Linked DNA regions of Notamacropus eugenii. The protein of the gene in region 1 purifies or fractionates together with the protein of each later gene. This does not show direct contact. Links are inferred from orthologs where the notes say so. Each region holds a gene or a part of one and is shown in the gene's direction. Other genes may lie near its edges.

Region 1 (16,556 bases):
TCTTTAAAACCATAGCTCATCAGTTTGGAACTATGTCCAAACGGTTATAAAACTGCATTCTCTTTGACCCAGAAATATCACTGCTAGGTCTATATCCTAAAGAGATTTTTTAAAAAGAGGAAAAGGACTTACATGTGATTATATATATATATATATATATATATGTATGTATGTGTGTGTGTGTATATATATATATATATCTCAGCTCTTTTTGTGGTGGCAAAGAATTGAAAATTGAGAGGATGCCCATCAATTGGGGAATGGCTAAACAAGTTGTAGTATATGAGTGTGATGAAATACTATTGTGGTATAAAAAATGACAAGCAGGAAGATTTCAGAAAAACCTGGAAATACTTACATGAACCAATGCAAAGTGAAATGAGCAGAACCAGGAGATCATTGTACACAGTAAAAGCAATATTGTACAATGATCAGCTGTGAAGGATTTAGTTATTTTCAGCAATACAAAGATACAAGACAATTCTGAAAGATCTATGATGAAAAATGCTATCTACCTCCAGAGAAAGAACAGGTGGAAACTGAATGCAGATGCAAACATACTTTTTTTTTTAAAAAAAACTTTCTTCTTCTTTTGTCTGTGTGTTCTTTTATAACATGACTATTATGAAAAAAAATAAAGTGATCCCTTTGTAACCCCCCCCCCCAATAACTCATGAGTTCCCATCCAAAAATAACCAAAGGACTTATTAATTTAAAGTAAAAGTATTTAATTAAATAGAATAGTGAGATTAAAACAAATAGAAAATTCTTTCCCCCCTCATATACATCTCCATAAATATTGCTACCAATGGGAGAAGGAACACTTATAGCTTCTGAGGTTGCATTCTAGCTGGAACATCTGCCTGCTTGCTATATTTCCTATAGAACTGTTATGTCATCTGTTGGGTTTTTCCTTTGCTGAACCATCATCTGCTGCTTCTCTAGTGAACTTCCATTATTTGCTGCTTCTACACTTAATTGCAGCTGTTATCTGTCTCCTTCCTCATAGGAAATTCTTATAATTCTTCTTCTTTTTAAAATAAGCTCCATAGCCAATGCCCCAGTCAGCACAGCAGAGAGTCCCTTAGATGATGTTCATCTTTTTTTAGTACTTTGCTTCACCTTCAGCAGGAGTTCTTCCAGGTCTACTTGACATTTGGGTGAGTAAATACTTTCCAACTTTTATCATATTACACTCCTGACCTTTACATTCAAGGCCACATAGGTCACCCTGAACTTTATGTAGACCCACTTCAGAGGTGGGGTGGGGCTGGTGGCCTTTGTCTTTCCTTCCTGCACCAAAACACTTTATACATATAATGTTAATGTGTCTTTATTGTCATAAAATTCAAAAGAGAATATAAATGAATTGCTTGCCATCATCAGACTAAAATTTTAGATGCCCTATCATTTTTATTTTGTATGAAGAGTAGGAGTAATATTGTATTTAAAAAATATTTTCAACTCAAAATGAGCAGCGGGCTCTTTTTTGTTAGTTTGTTTTTAATTCTAATGATGAGAGAACTTCAGGGTTTTTTTTTCTAATGAGCAACTGAAATTGAAAGCAATGGTTTACAGTGGTAAAAACAGTGTTCCTATTTGACAAGGAGAGGCTAGTATAAAAAAAGGTAAAAAGATGAGAGAAAGGGAAAAAAAAGTTTTAATCAGATTTGTCTCTGATGTTTCCTCACTAAATAAAAAGTTTTAAAGAAACGGAAAAGCCTACAGTCAGAGTAAATTCTCACTCAGCTCATTTTGGGACAGACAACTCCACAATATGAAACAGAAGAAAAAAGTTTCCTGTGACCTTATTTGCATAATGAATATTGTATTGTTTTAGGAAAACACTTGCAATTCCTGACTCATTCCTGTGACTCATACCCAACCTGAGGTTGAATACCTGAGGGAAGAAAATTTTTCAAAGATGGAAAAGATGAGATGGACAGAGAAAAAGCAAGTCTAAAATCTCTAGTCAAAGAAATTATTAGCATTTTCTGCAGAAGCAAAAACAGTACATACAAAAAGATTGGCCCACATGATGGATTCATGACACAAGTTACCTTAGGTTTTTTTCTTTTCTTCTTTTTACTAATGCTTTTTAAAAAATATATTGTCATTTACCATCATTTACATGTCCCACTGTGTCCTTCCTTGAGCCATCCCTTATAATAATGAATTTTGTTAAAAGAGAAATAAAAAACTTATAAAACTAATCAGCATGTAAAAAAAGTTGATGTTACATGTAATATTACAACATATCCATAGTCTTTCTACTTTTGCAAAAGAGTTCTTTCTAATTATTTTAGTGGCAAAATTCCACTCAACATTGTAGTGTTTAAAGAATCAACTTCCGTCAGTAGTTTGGAATTAAACATGTAGGGTTCAAAGTGTCCAGATATCTGGGATTAAGAAATTGAATGAAGTGCTACTTGCTCAATTGGATTGGCACTTCTGTGAAGCCTGTGTTTAGGGAACTTTTTGAAAGGAACTTAAATGCCCTTGCAAGTAAATTCCTTGCAGGAAGTAAAGAATCCATGATTAGCCATGACTTGTTTCACAAGAAATGATTTGATGAATTGTAGTCACTAGTAAAGTCAGTTGAGTTTTTGATTGACATGCTACATTGCATTAGAAATGAATTTTTGGTGAGCTGCATTTGATTTTCTTTACTGAAAGTACTTTATAAAATGTAATTCTTCTTCATCATCATCTTCTCCACCATAAAGATCATTTATATAGCATGAGGAAATTGCTTCTTTTGGTACAAAGTTCTGCATACAGTTGATATTCAAAACATGATGCTATATGGCTATCATCTAGACAACTATTTCTCAGAAATATGATTCCAGTTACTTCAATTGTTCTTCCCCATAGACTCACTCATGAGTTTTTATTTGCCATACCAAAATCCTCTCCAGTATAATATGGACTAGATTCTCTTTAGGAAATTATATAGTACTTTTATAGACTATAAGCTTTTCCCTAAAACAAAGCCCTATCTTTTTAAAAAGAAATATTTTTCCAACGCCAAAGTATGTCTCTGAATCATTGAATACCACAGTTTCTGTAGAATTAAGGTTTCAAACCACCCAAAGCACAATGGAGAGGTACCTGACGAGTATATTATACTGAAATAGTTTAAGAACAATGAATTGCACAAGAGAAATGGAATCAAGGATGCCATCAGATGAATGACAAGAAAAGAAAGTGAGCCAGTTATAGAATGAGATGGAGGATACTTAATGGATGGCCTGAGTATTCCATTGGTATCCACAGAACACTGAGGAAAGAGTCAAGCACAGTGCAGAATTTATGGAAAAACATGGACAAGAGTCACATAGGATTCATAGGGTATGGACGGGTTGGGAAAAGAGTACCCACATTGACAAGATGGAAGATTCATTAAAAAAAATAAAAGTATGATATGGACATGAACCATTTTTATACAGGGTCTGATTAGTTCAAATAATAAATCCTGAGAAATGACTGCATTTGATTTTACACTGCATATTTCCACTGTGCTGGGAATAATTACCCTATTTTACATAATTATACAGATGTATAAATTTGAATACATTCAACCATTTCAAAGTATTATTCGCACTAATTGAGATGTCACAATTGAAATTGGCAAAGAACTTTCCCACCTATAACTCAGTTAGTCAACAAACATTTACTTTAGCAGGTAAATAAATCTAAGAATGAAATAGTTCCTTCCCTAAAAGAGCTTAAATTCTCCTGGGGGTGGTGGTGGTGAAACAGGGATACAATATGTTCACATATAAGTACATACAGAATATACTGTGGGAAATCAGCCACTGTGTTGAGTCAGTCTGGGAGACTCCAGTTTAAAACATTGTTTATAAGTTTGAGTACATGGCAGCTGCTGTAGACGGTAGTGAGCATGCTCCTTTAATCCATTTCCCTGTGATACTGTAATAAGGGTGGGGCTAAAGTGACCCTAATCCTATCTCTTCATAGATTATGTGCATCAGTCAAGACTGTCTTTCTATTGTATGGAAATTGTTTACTCCTGTCCATAAAAAGCAGAACACAGATGAAATCTGGTCAGGCTACCAGAGTGTCCTGCCTTGGTGTATGAGTAAAATCCTGGTCTTACTTTGAGTTTGCCTCAATTGATTTGGGCAAGGCCACAACCTAGATTTCTTTGAACAATATATGAAACACAGAGATTTGACTGGTTGGTGGCAGGGTTTGGGGTACTCGCAATTTGAGGACTCAAGAAAGATATCTATGAGTCCAAGGCTTCATAGTGCCTTGACTTCTTTCCCTTTTTTAATCTCATTCCACAAAGAGCTGAGTGCACATTATATACAAAACAATTTGTTGGCAGTTCTGGAAGTTCAAATCAGCAAACCTCAGGGCATATATACATAGCTTGTCCTAACCCATACAGACATCATAGAACCATTGATTATTATTAGTGAAGTCTTAATGAACAATGGCTCTGTTTTCACACAGTGAAAAAAACAATTGGACTAAAAGTCAGGGAAACTAGAAACCCTTTCTGTCAGGAGTAACGTATTTGGCTGTAGGGAAGGTACTGAACCTTTTTTTATGTTTCAATTCATCATTTGTAAAATGGAATTCATCATATCACAGATGTAGAGTTGGAAGGATATAGAGTTCATAGAGTCCATCTCCCTCATTTAACAGATGAAAAAACAGGCCCAGAGAAGTTAATTTCCTCAAGGTCACAGCAGTAACTCATAGAGTGGGATTTGAGTCCAAGTTCTCTGATTCCAAGTCTAGTGCCTCTGTTATCTTAGTCGTTGTATCAATAAATCAATAAATAATCAATAATATATAAAATAAGTATACATATATAATCAAATATCAATCAAATACAAATATAATAAAATACTCATTGAACATATAATATCTACCAATGATGCAGATGTAGAGGATATAAGATTAGCCTTTGAATAAGAAAGAACTGCTTTCAAGTTTTGCCTCAGACTCCTAGGATATGAATGACCCTGGGGCAAATTACTTACCCTCTCAATGCCAGAAGCAGCTCTCTAATACTATGTTATAGTATATAAGCTGCATTGATGGAGTCTCTACTCCTATAGTTCTTTACAGGATGAAATTGTAAGTCCAGATTTTTAAAAAACATGCATATGAAAGAGGTAAATTTCATGGTTTATGTACCCATAGAAGTTTACGATCTAGATGAAGAGACAGAAACACACCCATAAATAATTAGAGAAAAAGGCAAAGAACGAGAGGCAATGTAGTATAGTGGAAAAAGTTTCAGGTAAGAATTAAGGGATCAGGCTTTGAGAGAATTTTTTTTTAAATTTTTGTCTTTTTTCAGCTTCTGCTCTTAGGAAAGACAATGTATGTAAATAAGCTTTGCAAAACTGGCTCTATATAAGGATGAGCTATAATGATGATGTGATATGAAAGAATTATTCTGTTATATAGTAGAGAGATTATGTTCTCATAGAAGGCACAGGAAGAACCACAAAACTTAGATTAGGTTAGTACTCCCTTTGCCACTAGCTAGTTATATTTAACTCTGGGCAAGTTCCTGGGCTACAACTGTCTTAACTGTAAAGTGAAGGAGATATACTAAATGATGTCTCGGGCCTTTTCCAGCTCTAAAATTCAATGATTTCAATCCAGAATTGGCCATAATTTAGACAGGGACTCAAGTTTGTCTTTGGCAAGTGTAGACAAGTTTGCTGGGAGGATATTTAAAATACTTTAGCTAATTAATCCTTTTCACAAACTCAAAAGGCAGAACCTATTTAGCCATAATTGATGCTAATTATAATTCTTTCCTATTAATTCCTTAAAGCAAGTTCCTATGCTAACCTAATAAATAATAAAGCTAGTTTTGAGTAATCTATTCCTGAAAGCAATAAAATTGCACTTCTGCTAAAAAACAAAATTAACCAATGGACTTTTCATTAATTCAGACTTACTTTTCCCAAAATTAGTAAAATTTTTCAGTATTGTTAAAATGGAGGACAGCAAACCACAAAATAAGCATTCAAGAACAGCTTTGTGGGAATTATTTGTTTGCGTGACTTCTGTTAAGCATTTCAGAAATTGAAGGCATTTTAAAAGCAAGCAAACAAAATTCAATCTAATACTCTTCTCTCCTTTTTTCATGTGTCACAAATGACCATCAACAAGAGCTAGAAGAAAAAATTTTTTTTAACATATCAAGATTGAATTGTGGTGGATAATTAAGGGGATGCTATGCACTCTGACTTTAGCCAATGAAATCAATACTGAAAACTTCAAATTGTCATCCTGTTTTATAGCGTACTTCTAGAGCTATAAGGGATGTTAGGGATTATCTAGAACAACCTTCTTTTTAACAGAGGAGGAAACTGAGACCCAAAGACACATTTAAAGGCACAGCTGGCAACAAGGTCCAGGTAGCATGATTTCCCAGTCAATACTCCCCCCCCCCCCCCCCCCCCCCCCCCCCCCGCTCCTTGTATAAATTGTACATGCCAGGAGCTAAAAAGAACGTAAAATCCGACTTCCCTCTTTTCTCCCAAACTCACCCCGCCCTGCATTCCGGGACATACAGATCCATATGGATGGATATTTTGTCCACCACTTGGGTCTTTGCCATGGAGCGGCTTGCCTTTTGGGTTGGAGGGCTGACATACTGATTGAGTGCCCCTCTAATTGGGGTGGGAGGGATTAGCCTAAGTACTGAGGGAAGGAGTTGAAGTTTGGTAAAGGATTTATTCTTAACCCGTCCTTCATTCTCCACCTCTTTCCCTCCCCCCCAACACTCCCCTTCTCCCCTAAACCCCCCCGCTTTCCCTCCCCAGAAAGCGTAATGGAAAATATTTCCAGAGGCCTGAGAAGCAGAGTTAAATAGAGGATTCCAGGTAATCAGTTGGGTCTCAGGGATACAAATCAATTACAGGCTTGTTCTTTGGGTCAAGAAATCTGACTTCTCGTTTTTAGACTACTGCTAATTAGCTATATGACTTTGGGCGAGTCACTTTACGAACAGAGCTGCCGCTGTTTTCCCATCTGTGAAGTGGGAGGGACTGGCGCTTGGCCTTGATCTTTCTCCAAATATCCTTAAGTGCTAAATTTCCTTACGCTCAGTGTATACCACTGCACAGACCAAACAACCCCACTCCCGAAGGAACTGGGAACAGAAAAGCCCCGGGCTATTAGCGTCTCCCTTCTGGGAGCTAGGGTCTCACAGCTAGCTGCCGCAGCTTTGTCTCTGCCCCCGACCCCCCTTAGCCTGAGAATTGCAAGAGCAGCCCAGAAACCGAGCCCCAGCAGGCTGGGATCCTAGGCAACGCATCTCCTTTGCTGTTTCCTGGATCTCAGCAGCCTTGGCGAGTTCCATTTCCCCCGCTGTCCGCTACACTACGCTGTGAAGTCACCTTAGACACAATCACAGATAGTGGGGTGATTGGGGAGAGCGCTCCCCTGGGAGGTAGGTGCACGTGAAGAAACGTAGAGCCCTTGCAACAGCATCAGCACCGGCAGCGTCCCAAGCCTGCGTACCTGGGGATTCATTCCTTCTCCATCCCCTGGCACCGCCGTTTTCAGCCACAGGCTACTTGACCTTTCTTCCTCGATTCAACCTCATTTCCCTTAGAGGAAGAGGATAGGGAATAAAAGTGCCCAGGTTCTATGGTTGTTGATCACAACGAGAAGGAACGATAGACGCCACAGTTACAAGGGAAGCCTGCCTCTATCACGCTATCCGAGGGCAAGCTCAGATGCTCCCTTAAGCTTTCACCTAGAAACAGTCGGGGTACTTTATACCCAGGCCCACCTCTGTTTGTAAACACGCTCACAAAGTGCAATGGGTATAAACTTCCAAACAAACTAAAAACCTCTCTCAGCTCTCTCTCCTCCAACCCCATCCTTCCCACTCATGCCCCGGGCTTCTGGTAGCAACAGGGTGAGGCCGGGGAGAGCTGCTGCCTAGATCTCCTAGGCTGGCCAGCCTCGTGAGGCGCCCTTGGGCCTGTTGCCTTCCCAAGTTAAGGCTCCGCGCCTCGTCCTCCTCCGTGGCCTGGCAAGGCCCGGGGTTGCGCTCTGACTCTCCGTGTTCCCGCTTCCCTCCTGCGCGTCCACTCCGCCTTCCCATTCCAATGCAGAAACTCGCCAATTTCTGTGTGAATTCGGCGAAGAGGCCGCGGGGAGGGAAGGAAGGCATTGGGTAAAACTACTGGGGATGTGCTTCTGGAGAGGCGGTGGAAGGACTGCGAAATAAGGAGCCTCCTCTAAGAGGAGGAGGAGGAACCCCGGAGGAAAAGGGGAGACCTGATGGTCCGTGACCGCGCGCGCGCGCCTGGGCAGTCTCGGTGCGTGTGTGTGTGTGCGCGTGTGTGTGTATGTGTGTGTCTGTATGCGTGTGTGTGTGTGTTGCGGGGCAGGGGGAGCGGGAGGAGGCGTGTAGCTTTTGGGGCGCATGCTCACACGCGGGTCGTGACGTTCGCCGCCAGAATTGCCTGGGAAGGATCAAAGAGCCCAAGCTCTTGGAGGGGGAGGTGAGCGGAGAGCCTGGGCTGGGCTGAAGAGCCCGAACGGATAGCCACTGCGAGCTCGGGAGGGAAGAGAGCAGAACCCCGACCAGGGTCGCCCGAGGCGGGAGGAGGAGACTCCTCCCGGCAGCCCTCCCGAGAGAAAAGCCGATTCCAGCCTGGGGAGGGTGAGGGGGTGGCAAGAGAAAGCGAACGAGCCAACCACCTACAGCAGACCCACCTCCCCCCATCCCCACCAAAACCATTCCTTCTCCTGGGCTTCCCCACTCCGTGCAGTGCCCTGGGAGCAGCCAGGTGGCCGCGCTCTGCCCAGGGCTCGGGACAGGGCCGGGAAGGAGGGCATGAGCCGGGAGGTGCCGCCCCGCGAGTGCCCCGTGCGCCCCCCGGCTGGCAGCCTGAGCTGCTGCGGGCGTGATTGAGGCGGGAGACCCGAGAGAAGAGCGAAGGAGGCAGGCGGCCAGGCAGCGAGGGAGCCCAGCGGAGCCTGACGGGGGCCCCGGGCTGGGCGCGTGCGCTCGCCTCTTGTCAGCTCCGGAGACCGATGTAGCAGCAAGTCCATGGCCGTGCCGAGGAGGAGTAGGGAGAGATAAGGCGACCCCGAGCTGAGGCTCGCCTAGGGGAGCGAGGAGCTGCGCCGGCGCGGGGGGCTTCATCCCGCAGGTACCATGGCAGGAACCATAGACTGCAGCTTCATCCGGACTCTCATCAACCGATACGTGAGTGCCCGACCCCCGCGGGGAGCCCCTCGGGCGGGAGGGGGAAGTAGAAGGAGCGAATAAAAGTTCGGGGCTTAGCGAGCAGAGTGAGACACCTTTTGCATCCCTGAGCCCGGGACCCTACGTTTACAGGGACAGGACCCTTTTCTTTGCACCGGGGAAAGTGCTGTGCCCGAGTCTGCATCCTTGGATGGACGGAATGGGGCTAATCCCTGGTTGTTTTCCACCCTCCCGTCCTCATCCTAGGGCCCGGCCCCAAGACCCGATTGTTTCCAACGTGGGATTGGGTAATCATGTGACTCGAGACTGGCTTCTTTGCTGGGCACTTTACCCCCGAACTAGGGATAAAGTAGGTTGTTGGGAAGGGGAGGGCCCTGAGGCCCCTCAACTCTCCTTAGGGATCCAGACAGGGCCCGGTGACTGGGAGAAGGTTCTACTCCCCGGCCTCTCCCCCAGGTCTATTTCATCTTGTCCAGGGGTTCTCCCCGCCTACCCCTTTCTCTGGTCTATTTCTTCTTGGCCAGGGGTTTTTCATTTTAATATTTTCGTCCCTCCCTGCGACTTCTCCTTTGATTTTTTGTGCCCTCTGCAAACAACTGCATCACTTCGCCACCCCCCGCACCCCCCGCCTTGGTTTCCCCACTGCAACTAGTAGTTCTGATGATTTAAGAAAAAGAAACCCCTAAATATCTTCTCAGAGGGGGAGGAGGAAGGGTATTCGTGGTATGGCTATGAACTTTATTTGCAAGGCATCTCCTACCTGCATGATTAATTTCGCCCCCCCCCCCCCGCCCCCAAACTCCTATGAACCTAATTAAAGTGGGATTAGGGTGGAAGGAACAGTTTGGAGAAGGGGTTTTAGGTTCTGCTAAAACACTTTGCTTTCTGCCTGGAAAACTAGGACTGGGGGTGGTGGTGAAGGTGTTAAAATGTAACAAAAGCGTAGTAATTTCAAAGACACTAACAATGTTTCTTTTCTGATTCCAAAGAGCCGGTTTTCTTTCTGAAAGTGAACCGATCAGATAAGATGCCCCCTGGGGTTCTCAGGTTCCTTTGGAATGCCACCAGCAGGAGACTAGCAAGTCTATTTCTATAGTGAACAAGTGCATGAGATGAGGAGAGGATGCTTTTAGCTCACTTTTTTAAAATGTTGGCTTTGCATTACTTCAAACCCGTAGGAAGATGCAAAATTTTTTGGTGCCTGTAGTAACTAATTTAAGCTACAGTATATAGCTCAGCATAAGGAGAATGAACCGACAAATTCTGAGGGCAATCCATCCTCCTCCTTCCTACTGTATGTACATGGTCCATCATGTATCTTTAAGTCTCATGATATACACTGAAGTCAGAGAAATATGAGAAAAAACTAGGTAAAAAGAGGGTGTTTTAAATTTTGTGTTTTTTTTGTTTTCTGGAGCTAAGATGTGCCTCTTTCAGAAGGTGCAGTTATTGATTGAAGGTAGTTTTTACCTTTAATTCTGGGAAAGTAGAAACAGGGCCTGCCCACTAAATTTATCTTATGATTTCCTTTCAGAGTAGAATTACTCGTTTTTTCATTGAAAATATTGAAAAAAGAAAGTGATAGGAATGTCTGTAACTTAGAGCTAAAGAAGCATGGGCTGATAGAAGTGGAAGGGGTCTTTGAGATCCTCTAGTTCCACTGACATTTGGCAGGTGAGTAAAATGAGGCCCAGGGATAGGGAAATGGTTCTTTAGAGGTCATGCAGGAAGTTCCTGGCAGTTCTAGATGCTGCTTTAAAAGTTAGTTCCAGTTGTACAAACATTACAGACAAATCATTTTGAAAGGTGACTCTTGTTCCTCTGAGAAGGTGGCAATCTCACTGTACCTTCCTTGGTCATACAACATCTAGGAGGTTCTGTCCCTCTATGAGCCTGACATTTGCGAGGAACATTGACTAACTGAAGTGTTTGCAGGAAAAGGTAGTCAGGATGGTAAAGAAACTAGAAACCACAATAATAGTCATCTCAACAATAATAATGATAATTATACATTATAATAGCTTTAAGGTCTGCAAAGCCCTTAACATACATTATTTGAATCAGCCTGTGAGATAAGTTTTACAGGTATCACTTTCCCCATCCTACAGATGAAGAAATTGAAACACAAGTTGTGACTTACCTTTGGTTTGGTCATACAATTAGTAAGTTATAGAAGTGGGAGCTTCCTGACTCTAAGCCTAGCAGGATATCCATTACATCATCCAAGGAAGAGAGGAGACTTTAGGGGGGAGGGAATACACATGAGAGCATGGTAGTCGTCTTTGAATATCTAGAGTTGGAAGGAACCCTAGAGGTCAAAGTCTGATCCTTTTATTTTTTTTTTTTGCAGATAAGGAAAATAAGGCCCAGAGAGGTTTGCTAAATAATTAAAAATAATAACTTGCTAAATAATAACTGGTATGTGTTTTAAAGCTATCATGTACAAGACTATCTCTATCATCTTTTCTTTTTGGAGTAATACTTGATATTTCTTCTCTGAATTTAATTGTGTGTAATTTTGTCTAATTTTATGAAGAAGCTTCTTGCTATTTTGATGAGTATTGCTTTAAATACATAAATTAATTGGGTTGTCAAATGAAAGAGATGAGATGTGGCCCTCTGAGGTAGAATTAGAATTAGTGAATGGGAGTTACAGGGAAGAAAATTTAAGTGCAACATAGGGAACACTTTTCTAAAAGTTGTAAGTGCCTTCAAAAGGAACAAGCTGTACTTGTGTACTGGCCATTAGTGGAGTAATGAGGTCCCCATCACTGGAAGTGTTTGATTAAAGAGGCTGAACAGGCACTAGAAAGACGCTATAGACAAGTATGTTTTATGGGTAAAGGTTAGATTAGATGTCTTGTGATGTCTCTGCTAAATCTAAGATTCTGTATGCCAATATAGATAAGTGGAGGCAGGGAAGTAGGGGTTATAGGGATTGTGATTACCTTAAATATTTAAATGATGTGATGTCATCCATTTAGGTGAGTACACCTGTCAATCCCATGCAGCTGTTTTCTGGGTCTTCCCATAAATTTGTTATGGAGGTCTGCCTGTTGTATTGGAAGCCTTGCTCAATTTCTCCTCTAGTAAAGAGAATATTGGATGGATGTTATCCATCACTCTTGTCATCTCCTTTTTGATCATGTTTTCCTAATGAAATCCTTTACTCCAATTCTGAGTTCCTTTTTTATTATATGTTCCAGTCTTCTTACCCTCACCATGCTTCTCCCTGTTTGCCTTCCTTTCTAATTCTGAGGTGCTCCAAGTCTGGAAGTCATTTAGCAACAGAGATTGTTTTTTTTAAAGCAGTAAATATGCTTTGTGACACCTGTTGCTACACACCCATTGAATATATATAACATTCACTTGTCATGTACAGTAATTAAATGCATAATAAATAATTGGATATCTATAATGGGGGCATTTAGTAGACTGAAAGTGATCAGAAATGCTGACCCTGGCAATGCTACTGATTTTATCTTGGGCAAGTCAATTAACTTCTCTAAAATGAAGGTGTTGGACTCAGGGATCAAGATCTACAGTTTAAGCAGGCTGAAGGGGTTAGAGTGGATCTTCAAGAAGCCTTCAAATGCTAGTATTTTATTATTAAATTGAGATTTGGTTTGTGTGAAATAATTCATACCTGTTTACCTGTTGAATCTGAAGTAGATGGGATCCCCCCCACCCCAGACATTGTATGTTGCCTCACAGCCCCCACACTCCTTCACTCAGTGTTTCTTACCTTTCCTAACTTATTTCCTCATTTTTTTAAATGAAGATACATATTTTCTCCTTGTATTTCTCCTATTCTTCTCAGCTTCACTCTTATCAGGACTGTAGTTTTTTTTTTTCAATACTGTAAACCTTAACCTGTGGGTGACTTTTTTATGTGATTTTCATTAGTTACAAACAATTTGCTTTCCATATCGTAGTAAGTTTTATGAAACTAAGCTTTTTGACCAGACACTTCAGGTACAGAAGATAACAGTTTAAGGTCCAAAGAACATTCCCAGAGTCATAAAATCTTATGTTTTTCCTATGACTTTCATTCTGGCTTTGTGTATTAAAAACATTTTAAAGAATTTATTTATTACTTATACTAAACTAATGTGATGTTTCAAAATAATTATGTATCTAAATAGATTAAGTTGAATTATTTGCTTATATTTCACTTCAGTGTTTTCCCTAGGACCAGGGTTCCAAATCTGGAGTCTGAAGTATTTTGATAATTGCATTTCAGTATAATTGAGTTTTTTTTGTAATCATGTGTTTTATTTAATTCATTTAAAGACTTTCTGAAAGAAAAGAGTCCATAGGCTTAACCAGACTGTCAGAGGGCGGCCTCTATTGTGCAAAAAACATGAAGAACTATTGGTCTAAGGAGGCATGCATAGATTTTGAAACCCTTCATACCTTTTTATCCTTTTTCAGGCTCTGGCAGATTGGACCAAAGGAGAACGACTTTTAATATGTCCCAAGGGATTCATGGTGTCCCAGAAATTTTAATGGGCTAATCCAGATGACTTCTGGGACACCCAGCTGTCTTTTCATGTTGCTAAATGCTGACCGTCGGATTGACTGTAGGGTGGCAAATTTTTTTGACCAAGAAGTGCCAGTGCAGAATGTCTGTCTTTGTGAAGCCCACTTCCTTTGCAGGTCATTCAGGTTTCATTGATGGGATCTTTTATGTTACTTCTCGCAGTCAAGTGATCTTTGGTGCTTTGTTGCACCTTGCTAATAATAATGCCTGTTCTGAATATGTCAATGTAATAGAAAAGTTGATTTAGGTTTACTTTTGGAATTCCTGGTTTTTGGAAAATCAAATGAACAAAACTTTAGTTTACTACTACTCTTTAAGTTGTCATAGAATAAAAAATAATTACTAATCTCTTAATGTATCATTGATGTGGAAAGAGGAGGCTGAGTAATATAGTGGCTAAGAGAAAGACTTGAATTCAAATTCTGCCACAGATACTTATTACCTAGGTGACCCTGGATAAGTCACTTAATATTTCTTTGCCTTAGTTTGCTCATCTGTAAATCGAGGATGTTGGATTTAATGGCCTTTTAGGTCCCTTCCTATTTAAATATTTACCAAAATTATGTTTTGGGGAAACACTGCTATCTGATTTTCCCTTCTTGGTAATCCAGATGGTCATTATAAATGAGAAAGACTACTGTTAATCAAATATATTATACTTTAGTTTTTTTAAAAGAAAATTTATTAATAAGATTGGAGATGGACAAATCTATATGCACATGGGCTTTTGTATTTAAAAGTAATAATTCTGTGTGCACCTATAAAAGTGTGCTGGCCTACGCAGAATCATTTTCGTACATTCATCCTCTGCTCATAACATTTGAGTGAAGGAGCTAGGGAGCCTGTGCTTTTATAGACCTTGTGGGAGAGAAGGAGGCTACAGAATCAGGCAGTTAATCCAGGGATTAGCAATTTTGTTTTTTAAGCCACGAGCTGGGTTATATCACACCTTCCTGTTTTATTCAGTCATTGTTGGCTATTGAGGGACACTAACTGGTCAGAAACTGGAGAAAATGACCACTTATCAGATCAGTTAGTGCAGGACACAAGTGCCTAGATTAGTGGAGTTAGGATGAGGTGAGCCTAACTTAGAAAAAGGCAGGTGGACGAATGAATGAAAAAAAAGCATTCGTTAAATGTTTACTATGTGCAGAGCACTGTGCTAATCACTAGGGATACCTGTAGTAGAAAAGCCTGTGTAGTTAACAGTTCATAATCTAATGAGAGAGACAATACATGGAGGTTTTAGTTGCAAGTCAGATAGAAAGGCCCCATCTTTCTTAGAGTGCAAGGAATTCATCCTTTTTAGTTTCATTTCCATTGATAAAATTGTATCTGTTTCTGATGATGAACCATATAATAATGCCCAAGGGATTTGGGGTGAAAGCTTTCTTTTCAGAGTCTTCAGCAGCTTTGACTGTTAAGGCATAAGAGGATATCTGGACTTATCTCTGCAGTTGCTTCCCTGGAACTCTAAGGACTGGGCTAGAAGCAGAGCTGATAGTCTAGCAAGCTGTGCTCTTTATGTGCTCTTGGCCTTGCCTGACTATTTATTGCTGGTGGTTGGTCAGCCATTAGTGGTGGTGGTGGCAGAGATGGTGGGCTCATTCTCCACAAGGGCTGTTTCACTAGATGGCTTTAGGGGCAGACTGGAAGAAGGACTGGTCATCTTGGGGTAGGAGGAAGTGATATTCCCAGAGCCATTAAGCACAGGGTTTTGGGCTGTTTCCATTTGGGTCTAGGGGAGATGTTAGAGATGGTGGTGGTGGTGGTGGTGGTGATGGTTTGACCTGCTTGGCACATGCTGCCCTTTCCTCTCTCTCAGGACTCCATGCTGCTCCCCCTATTCCTCAAGGGTTGCTGCTAATGATGATGGCTACAAAGGACTGCTGGGTCTGGAAAGCAGGGCCAGACTATTTAGAGATGAGTGTGGTCAGAAAAAATGGTAATTCAAGAGAAGAAACCTGTACTGGCTATGTTGGGTAGTAGGTTTAAAGTATGAATGCTCCCCAACTTCATAGACGTAGACATCAGGAGAGTCAGTGACCTCCACACTGAACATTTTGCCAGCCCCTCTACCCTACTGAGTATTTGCATTTCTCTGAAAATATCACGAAATAGTTGAATAGTCTCCTGACTCCTGTAGACTCCTGACTGCTTCTTAGGGCAGCATTAGCTTGTTGACAGTGGAGTCATAGTGGACATCACTAGAAAGCATGTGAATAGGAAACCTCCTTGGAGAGGGTTAAGAGGGGAGGGAGGTGGTTGAGGAATCTCTGTGTAATGACCCCGCCTGCCATTAGCTCTGCCAGTGAGTACACTTTGAAGTTGAGTACTGAGTCTCCAGTCTAACCCCCTGAGACCTCCCAATGAATCAAGGCTCATACTGGGAGCCAAAAGTAGGAAATGGGGCTGAGTGAGCCACAGTGCAGCCAGCTCTCTGCTTTGATCTGCCCATGATATAGAGGGAAGACTGTCCATATTGGAGAAGGGAGAATTGAGTTCAAGTCTCAGTTCTGAAATTCACTGTGTAACTTTGGGGGAATCGTTTCATCCCCTGAAGACTACTCAGTTTCTTTCTGTGGAAAATAGGAATAAGTAAATGTGCTAATCCTTTATGGGGTTGTTGTGGAGAAAGCACTTTGCAATCCTTAAAGTGTTTGTGAAACGTAAGGTATTTTTACTTGGCTCCTGCAGAATGGTATTGGTCCTGATTTCCAACTGAACTGAGGCCCCTGATCTGGGTCATTGGAGCAAGTCTACACTGCAAGGGAAGGGTGTGCC
Region 2 (15,883 bases), on another chromosome or scaffold:
ATTTGCTCAGTGATTCCCAAATTGATGGATACTCCCTTGTTTCTAGTTCTTTGGCACCACAAAAAGAGCTGCTACAAACATTCTTGCATATATAGGGAACTTTCTTCTCTGTTTGATTTGGGGTGGGAGTGGGGGATGGGAAATAGGACCATGAGAAATATTTCTGGGTCAAACAGTATGCATAGTTTAGTGACTTTGGGGCAGCTAATTGATACAGCAGATAGAGCACCAGGCCTGGAGTCAGGAAAATCTAAGTTCAAATATGGCCTCAGACATTTCTTAGCTATGTGATCCTGGGCAAGTCACTTAACCTCTGTTTGCCTCAGTTTCCTCATCCGTAAAATGAGAATAGTATTAGCACCTAACTCCCAGGATTGTTGAGAGGATTAAGTAAGATAATTGTAAAGGTTAGCACAGAGCCTTGCATGTAGTAAGCACTATATTACTATATTATTATATTTCCTAATTGATTTCCAGAGTGATCACCAATTCACAACTCTACCAATAGTATGTTTGTTTTCCTGTAGCATCTCCAATAATTGTAATATTCCTTTTTTGTCATTTTTCCCAATCTGATGGGTATGAAGTCAAACCTAAGCATTATCTTAATTTGTATAGTCTAATTATTAGTAATTTGCAATGTTTTCATATTGAGAGTTAATTAGCATTTATTAATATTAGAATTAATTGAATGCATGGTAAAACTCACATGTAAATTCATCTGGTCTTCAGTTCTTTGGGAGTTCATTTGTTGTTTGATCAGTTCCTTTTTCTGAGAATGCGTTACCTAAATTCTCAATTTGTTATTTTGTTAACCTGGGTATTTTATAGTTTATAAATATTCATCCAAGTTCTTTCATTTAGGTCATAATTTTTGTTGGCATATAATTGGACAAAATAGTTTCTAATAATTTTTTATTCTTTGTTGTGAATTTTTCCTTTTTCCTTTTTATACTGGTAATTTCATTTTTCTCTCAAAAAAGACTAATTTATCTATTTTATTAAGTTTTTTAAAAGCTCATAATTTATCAATTCAGTAGAATTTTTGCTTTCAATTTTTATAATCTTTTCTTTGATTTTCAAAATTTCTATTTTAGTGCTTAGCTGGGTTTTAAAATTTTTTGTGCTAGGGAAATTTCTCAAGCACATATCACAGAGTGAGAATAGGCAGGCAGCACAGATAATTGCATTAGGATAAAGTCTTTTACTATGTACATGGAGAGAATAAAAAAAAGTCTGATTTAAGGGGTAGAAGCTATTTTTTAAAAAACAGCTATAGATATGTGCAATAGAAAACTACTGTTAAAAACAGTTATATATCAGTAATTTTTGGCTAGATAATAACAATTGCTTCCTGGAATGTTTATGGTTCGCTTTGGTATTTGTTTAATTTCAGTTATATAGTCAAGAATGGGCTAACTTTAAAATCTATAAGTTGATTTTTCTAGACTTGGTTGGTTTCTAAAGGACATTCTTGTGATGCTGAATACTGTGTATATAGAGAGTGACATGACTCCTACTTGCCTAAGAAACCTCTAAGCCAGGCTGCTGCCTAATGGGAGCAGAGTTGAGGAGAAACAAGGTGCAAACTTTTGAATGATGATCACAGATCACCTCAGATGAATACAAATGGGAATATTGACTCCCTCCCAATATAAATCTTGACTTCCAGGACTTACAAACCTAGAGACTGATAAGAATGGACTTGCCTGATGAGCTTTCCTAGATTGAACTAACACCTTATCTCATTCCCAAAGAGTATATCTACTCTGCACCTGCTCTAATCTGTATGTCTTCCTCAATTTCCATTTACTATTTGCTTAGATAAGTCTGAAATAGTTTTTTTGGTTGCCTACATGGCATGGGAGGGAGCAAAGCTGACAAGAATAAGCTATTATCTTCCCCTAGGAAGCAATCAGGGAAAGTGGATTTTATTCTTAGTACCTAAAAGAGAAGAAATTACAAATATCTGAGGTGTGGTAGATAGATATAACAGCCCAATATTCCCATGGAGATGTGTGAGTAAAGGAGCATCCAGCCAGCCACAGCCCTCCCCTTGCTCTCCACAAGATGGAAATCACAGTTTTTTTGGGGGCCTGACCCAGATGTGATTATAAACACATACACACATATACATACACACATACCCTAGATATACCCTATAAAGCCATATGAATCTGAACACATCCATCTAATATAAATATATATGTATACAGACATATATGTATACAGACATATATGTATAGATAGATAAACAGATCATATTTAATTTTCCTAGAATTCTATTTAGGTTCTTAACATTTTTTTTTTTTGCATGCTAGATGCAAAAAAAAGGTCTCTTTCTTCCTATGAATTGGTTAACTATTCCTTATGAATTTAGATGCCATGCCATTTGGGGCAGCTAGGTGGCGCAGTGGATAGAGCACCAGCACAGGAGTCAGGAGGACCTGGGTTCAAATCTCACCTCAAACACTTGACACTCACCAGCTGTATGACCTTGGGCAAGTCACTTAACCCCAATTGCCTCATCCTGGTCCATCTCCAGTCATCCTGAAGAATATCTGGTTACTGGATTCAGATGGCTTTGGAGGAGAAGTGAGGCTGGTGACCTGCACAGCCCTCCCTCACTCAAAGCAAAGTCAAGTGCAAGTCATGCCATTATTTCTCTGATGGCATGGTCTTCTTCGGCAACAAAGGACAAACACACATACCATTTAGTGAACATATATTAAGTATTGATATTAATTTATTGTCTATCATGCCTTAAAGCCTGATGTAATTTCCCTCTTTATCCCTTCTAATTAAGTTGCTTTATCTGAGATCATATTTGCTAGCTCTGTTGTTCTAGGCTGCCACTATCTCAGGCCAGTACCCTGGTGGTTTATGTTTGGTATCAGAAAGAAATGAGACACTCGTGGGTTATTCTGTAATTAACTAAAGATTTACCTATTCATAGCTGAAGGATATTGAAAAACATATGCATTGAATGACACAATGGACTCAGTAGAGCAAAGCTCTTCTGTCCATTACCCATCCTGGTCCATCAGCCAAACACTAGAATGCCTCTGAGAACGAAGGATGAACAACAACCATAGTAACAGAACGTCTGGAGTTCCTTGTATTCAGATATCCAGAACTGTTGTCAAGAGTCTGAGCCTTTAGAATCCTGACCCAATCAGGTTTCTAAGGCATTTTCAGCTTCTCATAAGGAATAAAAAAAGCCCATCTTGCATGGAGGTAACAAAGGGGAGAAATTAGGATTTTCCTCCTACCAGACATGCTTTTAAAATTCTTCAAAAGCATAACAGATTTTGCTCCAGCCCTTTATTTAAATCTGCATGAATATTTAAAGTATGTTTCTTAAACAATGTATTGTTGGATTATTTTCCAATCCATTCTGCTACATTCTTTACGAAGAATAGAGTGGTGAGGGAGAAGTGTGGTAACACCAATGATCTATAGTAGATGCCATTTGCATTTATTCTACTCCCTCTTCCCCTTGTCAAGATCTCAATCACAGGTCTCAGTACGCTTTTCCATTTTCATTTACCCCTTATCTATTAACTCTCTGAAAATGAGTTTCTTTTGCTTATAATTCCCACCTAATTCCTACCTCTTCCTGTCTATGCTTAATGCTCCATGCCCTTCTTTGCCCCTACCTATTTTCCTGCTGAGTATAATGAGGGAGAAACAAGAGGCAGTAAGTGCCATGTAGGTCAAACCACTGCCACAATTTCAACCACCATCTCCCTTCAGACCCCAGGCAAGACAACCTAAAGAGCCTCAGTAAAAGTAGTGCCCCAAAAGTACTGGTCCTGTTCTAGCCTGGCTTCTTTAGATATCATAGAGAGAAGCAATTCTTATGGTGTGACCTGGTAACTGGCTTACAAGGAACTACAAAGAACTAGGTTCTTTATATTACTTACTTCCTTTATAACAGTTAATGGCATTAGTGTTCTAATGAAACACCTGTTGTTTTTTTCTCCCTATAATGTAAACATTTCATCATATACCCCTTCCAATTGTTCAAATGCATTTACCTTTCTATGTTTCTCTTGACTTTTTTCTTTGCATTTCAAGTATCTATTCAGCTCTGGTCTTTTCATCAAAAATCATTAGAAGTTCACCATTTCATTAGAGGTTTAGTTCCCCCCTCCCCCCCAACCCATAGGAATATATTCAGTTTTTCCAAAAATGTTATTCTTGATTGTAAACCTTTGTACCTTCATCTTTTGTCTTATGGAATAGCATATTCTAAGATCCCCTACCCTTTATAGGTGTAGCTGCCAAGTCTTGTGTGATCCTTATTCTCCTCAATACTTGAATTCTTTCTTTTTGGCTTCTTGACTTCTGTAGAATTTTTGACTGTGTGGCTCTGGATTTTGGCTCTGACATTTGTGGGAATTTTTCATGTTTTTTTTTTTCAGGAGGTGATAGTAGATACTTTCTGTTTTCACACTGCCCTCTGGTTTCAGTAGATCTAGGCAGTTTTCATTCATGATTTCTTGAAATATGATACTAGGTAGTTGTTTTGTCATATCATAATTTTGTTTGGGCTCGTTTAATTTCCTATTTTTTCTTCCAGTGCTTTCATTTATATTATTTTTAAACTTGTTTCATTTTTCCCAGGAATTCTGTAAAACTTGTAGTAAACTGTATTTTTGCTTGAGGTTTTCATTGTAGATTGTGTATTGTGTGGAGTTCTCTTTTTCTAAATTTGTGGCTTCAGTATTCCTGGAGATACAATATTTATCAGTAGGGTTTTCTTTTGTTTATTCATTTTTGCAGTCCTACCTCCTAAATTGAGACTTTGTGTCAGAATCAGACTGCATACTTTTGGAAGCAATGGTGGGGTCTTATTTGGTACTGATCATTTTGTAGGGTTCTGTCACTGCTTCCTCCAGGGACTCTTACGTTGTGTTCTTCAAGAAGATCTAGAAGTTTGGGACAGCAATCTATACCAGGATAATCCATAGCTTGACCTTATCTTTGCCTTCCTGATCTGAACCTTGCAGGTTCCTGACCTTCAGTCTGAGTTCTGAGTAATATTGCTATATAGCTTTGAAGGTAACCTCAGAAAAGATTGCATCTAGTAGGTTAAACCAGTAAATCCATGTTCTTATCTCCCTGTTCCTGGGTACTTAGCTACATATTCCAGATTTGGAAAGCTTCTGTTCAGTGTGATTTTGAAGTGGACTTTTCTTGCTAAAATCCTTTGCTTTTGATTTTCTCTTTTGTGTCACCATAGGCTGTAAAATGCAACACAATCTCTCTTTAGATTTCTTGATCATTATTTGGTATGGTGCTAATTTTTCATCCTTTCTGGAGTAGGAGAGTGGGGCTCTTCTGCTCTCATTTATTCTGCCATCTTGAAGTAATCTCTTGAATAGACAATTTTCAGAAGAAGAAACGCAAACTACCATCAACTATATGAAAAAATACTTCTTTTGTTGTGAAGTCATTTCATAGTCTGCATGATTTCATTTGGGGTTTTCTTGGCAGAGATAGTACAGCGGTTTGCTGTTTCATTCTTCAGCTCACTTTATAGAAGAAGAACTAGGGCAAACAGGGTTGTGTCATATAGCTAGTAAGTGTCTGATGTTGGATTTGAACTCGGGTCCTCCTGACCAGCGCCACTGTTGTATCCACTGTGCCATCTAATTGCCCTACAAAATTGCTACATTATCATTAATAATAGAAGAAATGTATATTAAACCTTGAGGTTTTTATCTTGTACCATAAGACTGGTAAATATGACAAAAGAAGAAAATGGTAAATGTTGGAGTTGTTATGGGAAGATACTCATTGATAGCTGAGTTGTAAACTGACCTGTTTGGATATCATTAGGAATTATACTAAGAAAAAGCACTAAATTGTACATACATATCAAAGTGAAGCCTATGTATCATGGAAGTCAAAGGCAACAGGAAAGCTCTCTATGTATAAAAATATTTATAGTAGCACTTTTGTGGTGGCAAAAAACTGCCCATCAACTGGATGATGGCTGAACAAACTGTAATATATGAATTTAATAGAACAATGTTTTACTATAACAAATGACAAATATGAAGACTTCAGAGAAACTTGAGAAGCCTTATATAAATTGACAGGGCAAAGAAAGCAGGACCAGGAGACAATTTATACAATGACAACACTGATATAAAGGACAACAATACTGAAAACTTAAGAACTTTGAACAACATAGTAACTAATTTGACCTCAGGAATGATGGTGAAATATGTCTCTTCCCTTTTTACAGAAAAATAGCAGAGTGCAGGAGTAGAAAAAGTCATGTAATTTCATATATGACAAATATGTTAATTTGTTTTTCTTAAATGTGCTTATTTCTTACAAGAGATGGTTTTGTTATTGGGAGAATCATTGGGAACTGGCAGGCAGTGTTGTTAAAAGAAAAAGGGGAGAGGTCATCGATAAAGTACGAAAAAGAAAAAAACAACAAAAAAAAGGAAAACAAAAGAGTTGTGTGTTGTTGTAGCCAAAATATGTATCAATTTGTAGCTAACCTGTTGATTTACCTTTCAAAATCTAGCTGGACTGCTTGAAAGGTAGCAAAGAGTTCGTCATTGGTTGTTGTTGTTGTATCTGACTCTTTGTGACCTTGTGAACTATACTGTCCATGGGGTTTTCTTGGCAAAATTATGGTTGTGGCTTGCCACAGTGGATTAAGGCAAACAGAGGTTAAGTGACTTGCCCAGAGTCTGAGGTAGGATTTAAACTTAGGTCTTCCTGACTCCAGGCCAGCACTCTATCCACTGGGCTGCCTAGTTGCCTCTTGACATTGTCATTGGGACCATAATCAAAAGTTTTTATAGCTGGAACAAACAATGCTTATGTCCTATTGACATAGCTTTTGAGAACCCAGGGTCACTTCCATGCTATGATAAGGAAGTAGGGGGATGTTGGCGGAGACTTCCATAATTAATTAGAAAAATAATCCTGGTCTTTTCTTGCAAATCAAGAACTACTCAAATATTTAAGATTTCTAGGAGAATTTGTAGAGTTCTGGGCCAATATGAAAGGTGAAAGATAATAAAAGAGGCAACAGTATAGGTTGAAAGTTTCAACTAAGATAAAGGAGCATTTAGTTAATTTCCAGTGGGGAATTATTTAGTTGTGAAGGATAAAACATCTTTTAACTTTTTCAAAAGAATCTAACAAACAAATGTGTTTTTAGTATGATAATTTTGTCAAATGCTAAAAAAAGAAAGCAGATTTCTTCCATGTTCCTATTTTCCTAAGCTTTCAACCTAAACTGTTGAATTTTTTTATCCCTTTTTTTCTTTCCTAGTGGCCAAGAATCATGTACTCTGCATTTTTAAAGACCAAATTAAATTTCTTTGGCTTCTCAAAAACCATTCTTTGGCCTTTGATACTACTCAAGTTTCTCCCTTAGCACAGTGATTTACACTAAGTACTTAATAAACACTTTTTTCTCCTGGAAATATCAGACTATGACTTGATTGATAGCTTAAGTCTTCATAGATGTCATTTAAAAGGTCAAACTCCTCTAAAACTATTAAAAAAATAATATAGGACAATTTTTATTTCATCTACAAAAGAATACAAATAGTATAAATTACATCTAGCATTTATACAGTGCTTCAAAGATTTGCAAAGCATTTTGTTATTTTGTTTGAGGTAGAGGTGCTATTATTATCCCTATTTTATGGATACACACAAATTACGTAAGTTATTCCTCCCCTTTCTACACAGGCCTTTTGATTCCCAGACAGAATTTGGTTAAATCTCCTCCCTACCCTGTTTCTTCCCTCATTTTACAAATGAAGAAATTAAGGCCGACCAGGTAGAATGACTTGCCCAAGGTTACAGAGGGGGTGGTAGAAATCCAGGACTCAAATCTAGGTTAGTCATTAGATCCAGCACTCACTGTAACCTGTTGGTCTAATTTTTTGTTGTTGTTTGGAGGCAATTTAGTGACTTGCTTGGAACCAAACAGCTAGAAAGTGTCTGAGGCTGGATTTGAATTCAGGTCCTCCTGACTCCAGGGCTGGTACTCTATCCACTGCTCCACCTAGCTGCCTCTACCTGGTCTAATCATTGTTAGCCATCCAGTGACCTTCTCACTTTTCTTAAATAAAAGACTAGGAGTAGCTTCTGACCTCTAACCTGACCATACTAAGTTACAACTCTTATCACCCAGAACTTCCTTGTTTCCCACATACCCATATATTTAGAGCTAGAAGGGCACTTAGAGGTCATTGAGTCCACTCTGTAGTGAGGGTGAGGAAGGCCAGTACCACACTGGAAGAAACTGTTCCTGATATTTGCTATCCACTTTATAATTGCATGCATTTTTACCGTGTTATTTAACAGAAAGAAATAAATGATTATTTGCTTCATGCTTCCTCCCTCCCAAACCTAAAGCTATGGACAAGGTCAAAACAGCACAGATCAAAACAAGTGTAGGGTAAAACCATTCACTGACTTCAGTGATAGATGCTGCCACGTTTCAGTACAACACGCTTTTAAGGAAATACTAAAAATTGCAAGGGCCAACCAATCCCACCAAAGAATCGCAGGCTATCCTACTGACTTAAATATAGAACAGCCAACTATCAAACACACACACTTCCTTCCATTTCCCTTTCTTGGCCTTCCTTAGACAAAGAAAAACAAACAAAAATTCCTGTCATCCCCAGAGTGGATGTTAGAGCGCCTTCATCCAGCAGCTATGTCCCAGATAGGATGACTCCATAATGGGAAACAAAGAGGGAAGATCCTAAGTGGCTTTCAGGAGGAAATTAGCAGGCAGAAATGTTGATTCGTTAAAAACTGTTGCTTTTGAGTCTGGGTTCTGTTCCATAGCAATGTTTTTCCAACAATCCCCAAGGGACCACTCAGTGAGACCACTTCCAGCGAGTCCGGTCCCCTGCGCAGGACACAAGTTTCCTCGCTAGCCACCCGAAGGCCAGGATCGTCTGATACTGTCTGACGCTGATACTGTTTCAAGCTCAGGCATTTTATGTTTCTGCAGTTGAGTGAGGTGGGGGGGGGGGGGGGGGGGGGGGGGTCTACCAAGGAAGGTCCTGGGCTTTCTGGCCCGTTGGGAAAACCAAAGCTTCCTCCTCCCTTACAAAGGCTGCTGGGTGGCTCGGTGGGCACAGCGCTGGAGCTGGAGCTGGAGTCGGGAACACCCGCGTTCCAATGTGGCCTCAGACACGTGGTGCGTGAGCCTGGCAGAGTCAAATGGCAGACCATGAAAACCCCACCAACGTGGGGTCGCGTGGGGTGACACAGAGTCGGACACGCGTTAACAACATTCTTTCCCAGTAGTTTCTCCAGGCCTTCAAAAGCGGAAGGTGCGTCAAGGTCCCGAGTTCGATTCCAGCTCTGCCACTGATGGGAGGTCTTGCACAAATCACTCTCCGGGCTTTAGTAAAACGAGTTGGGGTGATTGTTGTGATTAGCTGACTGCTAAAGGGTCTTCAGGTTCTAGATCTAGGCCTCTCCGATCTCCGGGTACAACCTAGGAGGCTGGGAGGTAACTCCAGGACAACTGCACCTCGTAGGTTAAACCCGTAAGGGAAACTAGGAGGCGGGCGTCGCGCGTCACTCAGGCGCAGGGGCCCGGCGGCTGCGCGTGCGCCAAGCCCGGCCCGTCAGTTCTCCTGCGGGTACGAGCTTCCCCGGAGACGCCAGGCGGACGGTTATCCAGACCGCGCATCCGCCCCTCCCCTCCGCCTCTTCACCCTTCCGCCTTCCCTTCCTCTGGCGCCCCCCGCTGACGCCAGTTTCCGGTTCAGCGGTCCCCCGCGCGAGGGCGTCCCGCCCCTTCCGCCCCGACAGCAGCGGCGGCTGCTCCTCCTCCTCCTCCCCCTCCCGGTCTCCTGTCACATTCGGCGGCTGCGTCCCCTCGGAGGCTCCTCCGCGTGACCGGGAGCCGGGCCCCAGGGGTTGATGGCGATCAACTATAACGCTAAGGACGAGGTGGACGGCGGGCACGGGTCGAGCCTGGTGGTGGGCAGCCATGCGGGGCCCGGGAATGCGATTGGGGGCGGCGGGCCGAAGAGCCGACGGCCGGACAACACGGCCTTCAAGCAGCAGCGGCTCCCGGCTTGGCAGCCCATCCTGACCGCGGGCACCGTGCTGCCGGCCTTCTTCATCGTCGGCCTCATCTTCATCCCCATCGGCATCGGCGTTTTCGTCACCTCCAACAACATCCGCGAGTTTGAGGTGAGGGACTGAAGGACGGAGGGGCAGGGGCCGTGGGAGCCCGAGGGGGCCGTGGGAGCCCGAGGTGTCCGCTGCCCCCTCACCGCCCTCGGCCGCCTCCGCGTCTGTTTACCTGCCCTTGCTCTCGGGACCGGTGCGCTGTCCATCTTGCTCTGGAGTCTTCCGGGATTTCCTCCGGGCTGTGACTAAGGCGGATAACGATCGGATGAGGGCAGCGGTGGAGGGGTTGTTTGTTTTGTTGTTTTGGTTTGGCTTTGGAGGGGGTGGGGGAGAAAGCCCCTTCATTATGACAAGTGTATCTTGACACTTTGCTGACTCGTCTCTCTGCATGACAGCAGGGTGCTGTTAACAGCCTTCCTGCAGGAAGTGAAGCCAAGGGATGGCTGGCTGGACGGGCAGAGGGAATTTAAAATGTTACGGTGTAGTTACCTGGCTGTGAGCTTGTGGACAGCAGGGTTAGCCCCTGGATTGTGGGGAAAAGGAATCAGAAACACGTTGATATTGGTGATGGTGCCGGTGCATGAAAGAGCATTACACAGATAACCTCTAGGTTTGGGTATAAACAGGTCTTTTTAGTTATAAAGTATGAGGTTAATCAAACTTTGAAATGTCACTTCTGTTTTAAGGTTTTTAACGTTTTGTATCGTAATTTAGTTCTCTTATTACTAATCCTGTTCATCATAATCCTCAGAGATGTGGTCTAAGCAGTTCTGCAGATTAAAAAAAAAGAAGGCAGGTCTTGGAGTGGGGAGAGAGCATCATCTTAAAGCACTGAGATGACTACTGTACTTTTGTTGGTAGGGTAGCAGCATTGATGAAAGCCAGGGTTATTTTCAGACAGCCAAGAGCCAGTCTTCCATTAATGGCTTCTTGGAAAACAGTAATCAATAAACTTTTATTAAGTGCCTACTATGTACCAGGAGCTGAGGATATAAATAAAAAAGTGAGATAGTCTTTGCCTTATAAATAAAGGATATATATTTGAAAATGTGCAGTGATGTCAGGGCCACTACCAGTTGGGGGAATAAGGAGGTGCTTTGTAGGAGGTGACAGTTGCTAAGCCTGGAAGGGAAGTAGGGGTTCCAAAAGGCATGAGTGAGGTTGCAGCACATTGCATGGGGGAGTGGGGAGGGGGGAGGCCAATAGATAACCTGTAAATCAAAGAATTAAGATACGGAAAATGGCAAGTGGGCCAATTTGACTGGAAGGTAGAATATTTGAAAGGGAGTCATCTGAATAATGCCAGAAAACTAGGTTGGAGCTAGATTGTGCAAGATTTTAAATGTCTAGTGGAGAAACTTGTATTTTGACCTAAAGGCAGTGGAGTGTTACTGAAGCTTCTTTAACAAGAGAAGTGGCTTGGTCAGACCTGTAAGTTGGATGTATCAATTTAGCAGTTATACCGTGAAGGAGGATTTGGAGAGAGGAGAGACTGGATGCAAGGAGATAGAGCACTGTCTTGTGTCTTTCCATCTGGCTCTCTGTATTGGGAAAAATAAGGTTAAAGTACCATTTTAGAATCTCCATTCTACCAGTAAATAAATTGCATTACTCCCCATGTTCTATGCAACTATATATTTTCTCTCTGCCTATTTTGTTACTTTTAAAAGGAGAGGGATGGGGGGCAGCTAAGTGGCCAGTTGAATTGAGCACTGGCCCTGGAATCAGGAGGATCTGAGCTCAAAATTGACCTTAGACAATTACTAGCTGTGTGACCCTGGACAAGTCACTTAATTTTGATCGCCTGCCCAAAACAAAACCCCAAAAATAAAAGATGAGGGATGAATACTGAAGTTTTTTGATCCCTCCCCTGCCCGTTTTTTTAAAACTACTTTTATTTCCTTATCCAGTTTTTGTAAAAGAGTACAAATAGCTTTATAGTCCTTTGGGGCTTATATGTGTATTCTAGTAGGGCTTTTAGGGTTATTCCTTTTTTTTTTTTTAATTGGTATATGCCTTATCAAAAAGTGCACAGGTGTCTGCTTTCTTGTTTGTAATTTTTTCTTGTTTAATTGCATCCTAGAAGGCATGTGAGACCACAAGTTCTATGTGTTTGGCTGAGGAGATAAATTCATAGAGGTACATTGTAGTTCCTAGGGTCAAAAAATTCATCACCAGCTAGGCAAGCTTCTGGTAATGAATATTCTTGGTCTCAGAAACTCCTGAAATTATGTGTATCAGGGACAGAGGAAGTACCAACATTAGTGAAAATAGGTAATAGCGATAGTGAATAGCAGAGCTGGAACTTGAACCCCTATCTACTCATTTCAAATCCAGGCTTCTTTTATTACAATATGAGAAATTTTATAATTTTAGCTTTGGTTTTGTAGAATGAGAAAGTTGAACTAAATGATTTCTAACATTTCTTTTAATTTTAATATTCTGATTCTAATTTTAGATCTTTTATAGATTCTTATTTTAAAATTTTGTTACTTTTGGAGACTTGAAGAAATGACTATCTCTTTAGCATATAAAAATCCAGATAATTTCCCCAAACACTGCCAGTTATACCCAGGGTTTCACATTTGCCTAAACAAGTATGTAGCCCAAAGTATGTTGTGTTTTCATGCAGCTGTGTAACAGGAAGTTCTTGTCATGACTAAGAAACCGTAAGCCTCCACCACCTTTTAAATTTATTTCCCCATATCTCAATTTCTTTGTCGTCATTTCATTGTACTACGCTAGCATACCAAGGCAAAGTAAACTTTGGCACTTTTATAAAGGGTTTCATTTGAAGATTAGGATATTCTTGCATTCTGCTTCAGATTTTCAAGTCTGAGATAAAATCAGTTGATAATTATCTGCCACCAAGGAATGTTACAAAAAGAGTAATTAATTGTCTATAGGTTACCTTGGACTCCTGAAAAAGGTGCTTGTTCTTTCCATATTCTAATGCTTGTAGCTGACAGCCTGCTTATTTCTCCCATGAAATATGTCTATTTTTGTTTGGTGGTGTTTTTAGATTTGCCTAGTATAAATAAAATAAAATTAATAGGAATTGTGTTATTGTAATTTATCTGCTTTCATACTTTGAAGTATGTTTGTCAATTGATCTGTGTTTTCCTCAGTGTGTAGATACTCTAAATAACCATGCAGATATGAACAAGGTTCATATCCTCCAGTAAATCCTTTGCTGTCTTTTACTCTGCTTCTCTTTACACAGTTACTGATTGGTGCTTTTTGTATTCTGCTTACACCTACCACATAACTTTTCAATACCCTTTGCATGAGACTCAATTTAATTTGTATAATTCTTTAAAAACATTTTTAATGTTTAATCATGTCACAAATTGTTGAAATACATCAGGGAATAAATTAGTATTTTCTTGAAGTGTGTATAATGATAAGTGGGGAATAGTTAAAATGTTCTGAAACAAAAGTAATTTTTTTTAAGGCCAAGGCCTCAATATTAGTTATGGCTCAAGAATAATGAATTTGTAATGTAAGTTGTATTGAGCTAACTTGGAGGAGGCCAAGCGAGAGTATTCTTGAATTTAATGTAGATATTAACTGGGACATAGTTATGCCCTGGAATGTAGTCCAGTTTTAAGTTACTATCTGTAATGAGATTAAAAAGACATCAAGCAGGATTATTTTTGTAAATTGTGGTGTAGTGGAAAGAGTACTGAGATTGGAGTCAGAGGACTTGGGTTTGAAGTTGATCTTTGCCACTTGCTGCCTATTTCACTTTGTACAAATCAGTGAACCTTTCTGGACCTCACCTTCTTCTTTGTGAGGAGGTAGGACTAAATATCTAAGGTCACTTGCAGCTCTAAATCTCTGATCCTATAAAACCTCAAAAGGTATTCTGAATTAAGATACCATTTTGACAACCTAAACTTTGGTCCTTTTTATCTTCAGAGCTATTTAGCCTTAGAGGACTAGTTCTACCTGATTCTAATAACTTTTGTAGGCTTGCCTCCATGATCTCAAATGAATCACATGCTTCTTTCTCTCTTCTTGTAACACTGATTCTTATTATTGGTTCTTTTGTATCTCTGGTTATTTTATCACTTGTTTTTAACAATACTTTTTTGCTGGTGTGTGTGTGTGTGTTTGTGTGTGTGTGTGTGTCTGTGTGTCTGTCCGTCTGTCTGTCTGTCTGGTCCCTAAGAATCTCTTTAAGTATCATAAAAACAGATTTCTCTTTAAGTATCATAAGAATAGATTTCTAACTGACAAGTATTTTAAAGCAGTGCTTTATGCATAATTGACATTAAAGAAATGCTTTTGACTGGGTTTTAGGAAAAAGTTATTTAGTAGAAATTGATCCTTTAAAATTAGACAAAATTATTTTAAAGTGAAAATTAAGGTCACAGAGTGAGACTCTTACACATGTAAGAAAATCTTTGAATACAGTTCTGTGACATTTCTGTGTTCTGAATTTTTTTTGCTTAAATCTGACACTTGCTTTTTAAAAAGAAATTTAAATCTAATGTTGATTATAAATGAGATATAATTCAGAGTATTGTAATTTTTTTTTAACTTTCTGAATCTGCTTGAGTTACATCGCCTTGTATATATATGTAGGAGAAACTATAAGACTAAATTAGTACCTGCTTGGGGTCAAGTAACTTAAAATTTAGTGTTCTGATGACTTCATATTTTATCAACCAGAAATAGTTCATTCAAACAGAATAACATTTTTCCATTCATCACTAAAATACTTTCATGGGATTGTTTTTCTAAGATAGGACATAGAATTCCATTTTGATATTAATGTGCTTAATTCTACTGGTAACATACTTTGTTACTCAGCATTTTGTTGAGTTACTTAATACAGATCTTATATTGATCTCCTTTAGAGCTGAGTTACATTCAGAAATAGAAGTTTTCCACTACTTCTGTACAGTGTAAAAAGTGCATAGTCTTTCATTCTACCTTTTCCATAGCATTGGTCTTATACTCTTAGGAAATAGAACATGTTTTTAGAATTACCAAGGAGAACAGTTCAGTTTGATTTAGGGGAACATTTGCAATGATAGGAAAACAAAACTGAGAAACCCAATAAGCCCATAGCTAATCTATTCATCATCATCTGTTGTTCTCTTTTGCTTCTGGTTTATTGTCTTTAAGACTTAAGCTTACCTGGCAGGTAACTAGCCAGTCATTGTATGCTGCATTGTACCTTTCATTCTTTTGACATTTAATAAGCATGAATTTTTTAAAATAATGGAACCTAAGCTGCTCCTAGAACTCCTTGGTGCTTGTTATTGCCCCAAGTACTTTTTTCTTTCTAACTGTAATAGAAAAGGTCTGACTCATTATCTTTAGTACAAAACTTGTTTCATTCACAGGTATTATATCCAACAGATTCATTACAAAATGGACATTAGGAGAACCAGCCATCCTTGAAGTTTCAACTGATGAAGAACCCTGTACACCACTTGAGTAAGGGTGTTGTTGATCTATTAAATTTGTAAGAGATTTTAATCAGTTAGTAAATTTGTAGTGAGCATCAGTGTATGTAGGCACTGTAGATACTACAAAGTATAAGACATGGTCCTTGGTCCAGGGCACATAAGTATATTGGTGAGATAAAGGGAAGGGACATTATAAGTCATCTAGTCCATGTTAGTCCAAGCCCCTCATTTTATAGATGAGAAAATAGTGATTCAGATAATTTAGATACCTTGCTCATGGTGATTTATTAGTACAGAAGAAACCA

Evidence for each region.
Region 2: the proteins of ATP11A (region 1) and TMEM30A purify together in Homo sapiens (co-immunoprecipitation; 4 studies listed by BioGRID and IntAct, with this or other methods). This does not show direct contact. The link is inferred for Notamacropus eugenii from reciprocal best matches to the Homo sapiens genes ATP11A and TMEM30A.

Annotation. Positions count from the first base shown.
Region 1 is NC_092877.1:208,824,097-208,840,652, reverse strand, and holds the start of ATP11A (phospholipid-transporting ATPase IH), read left to right. Parts: upstream 1-9,098; 5' UTR 9,099-9,178; coding exon 9,179-9,229; intron 9,230-16,556. UniProt on the Homo sapiens protein: Catalytic component of a P4-ATPase flippase complex which catalyzes the hydrolysis of ATP coupled to the transport of aminophospholipids, phosphatidylserines (PS) and phosphatidylethanolamines (PE), from the outer to the inner leaflet of the plasma membrane.
Region 2 is NC_092873.1:145,186,245-145,202,127, reverse strand, and holds the start of TMEM30A (cell cycle control protein 50A), read left to right. Parts: upstream 1-9,800; 5' UTR 9,801-9,939; coding exon 9,940-10,215; intron 10,216-10,327; exon of another isoform or gene 10,328-10,602; intron 10,603-15,883. UniProt on the Homo sapiens protein: Accessory component of a P4-ATPase flippase complex which catalyzes the hydrolysis of ATP coupled to the transport of aminophospholipids from the outer to the inner leaflet of various membranes and ensures the maintenance of asymmetric distribution of phospholipids.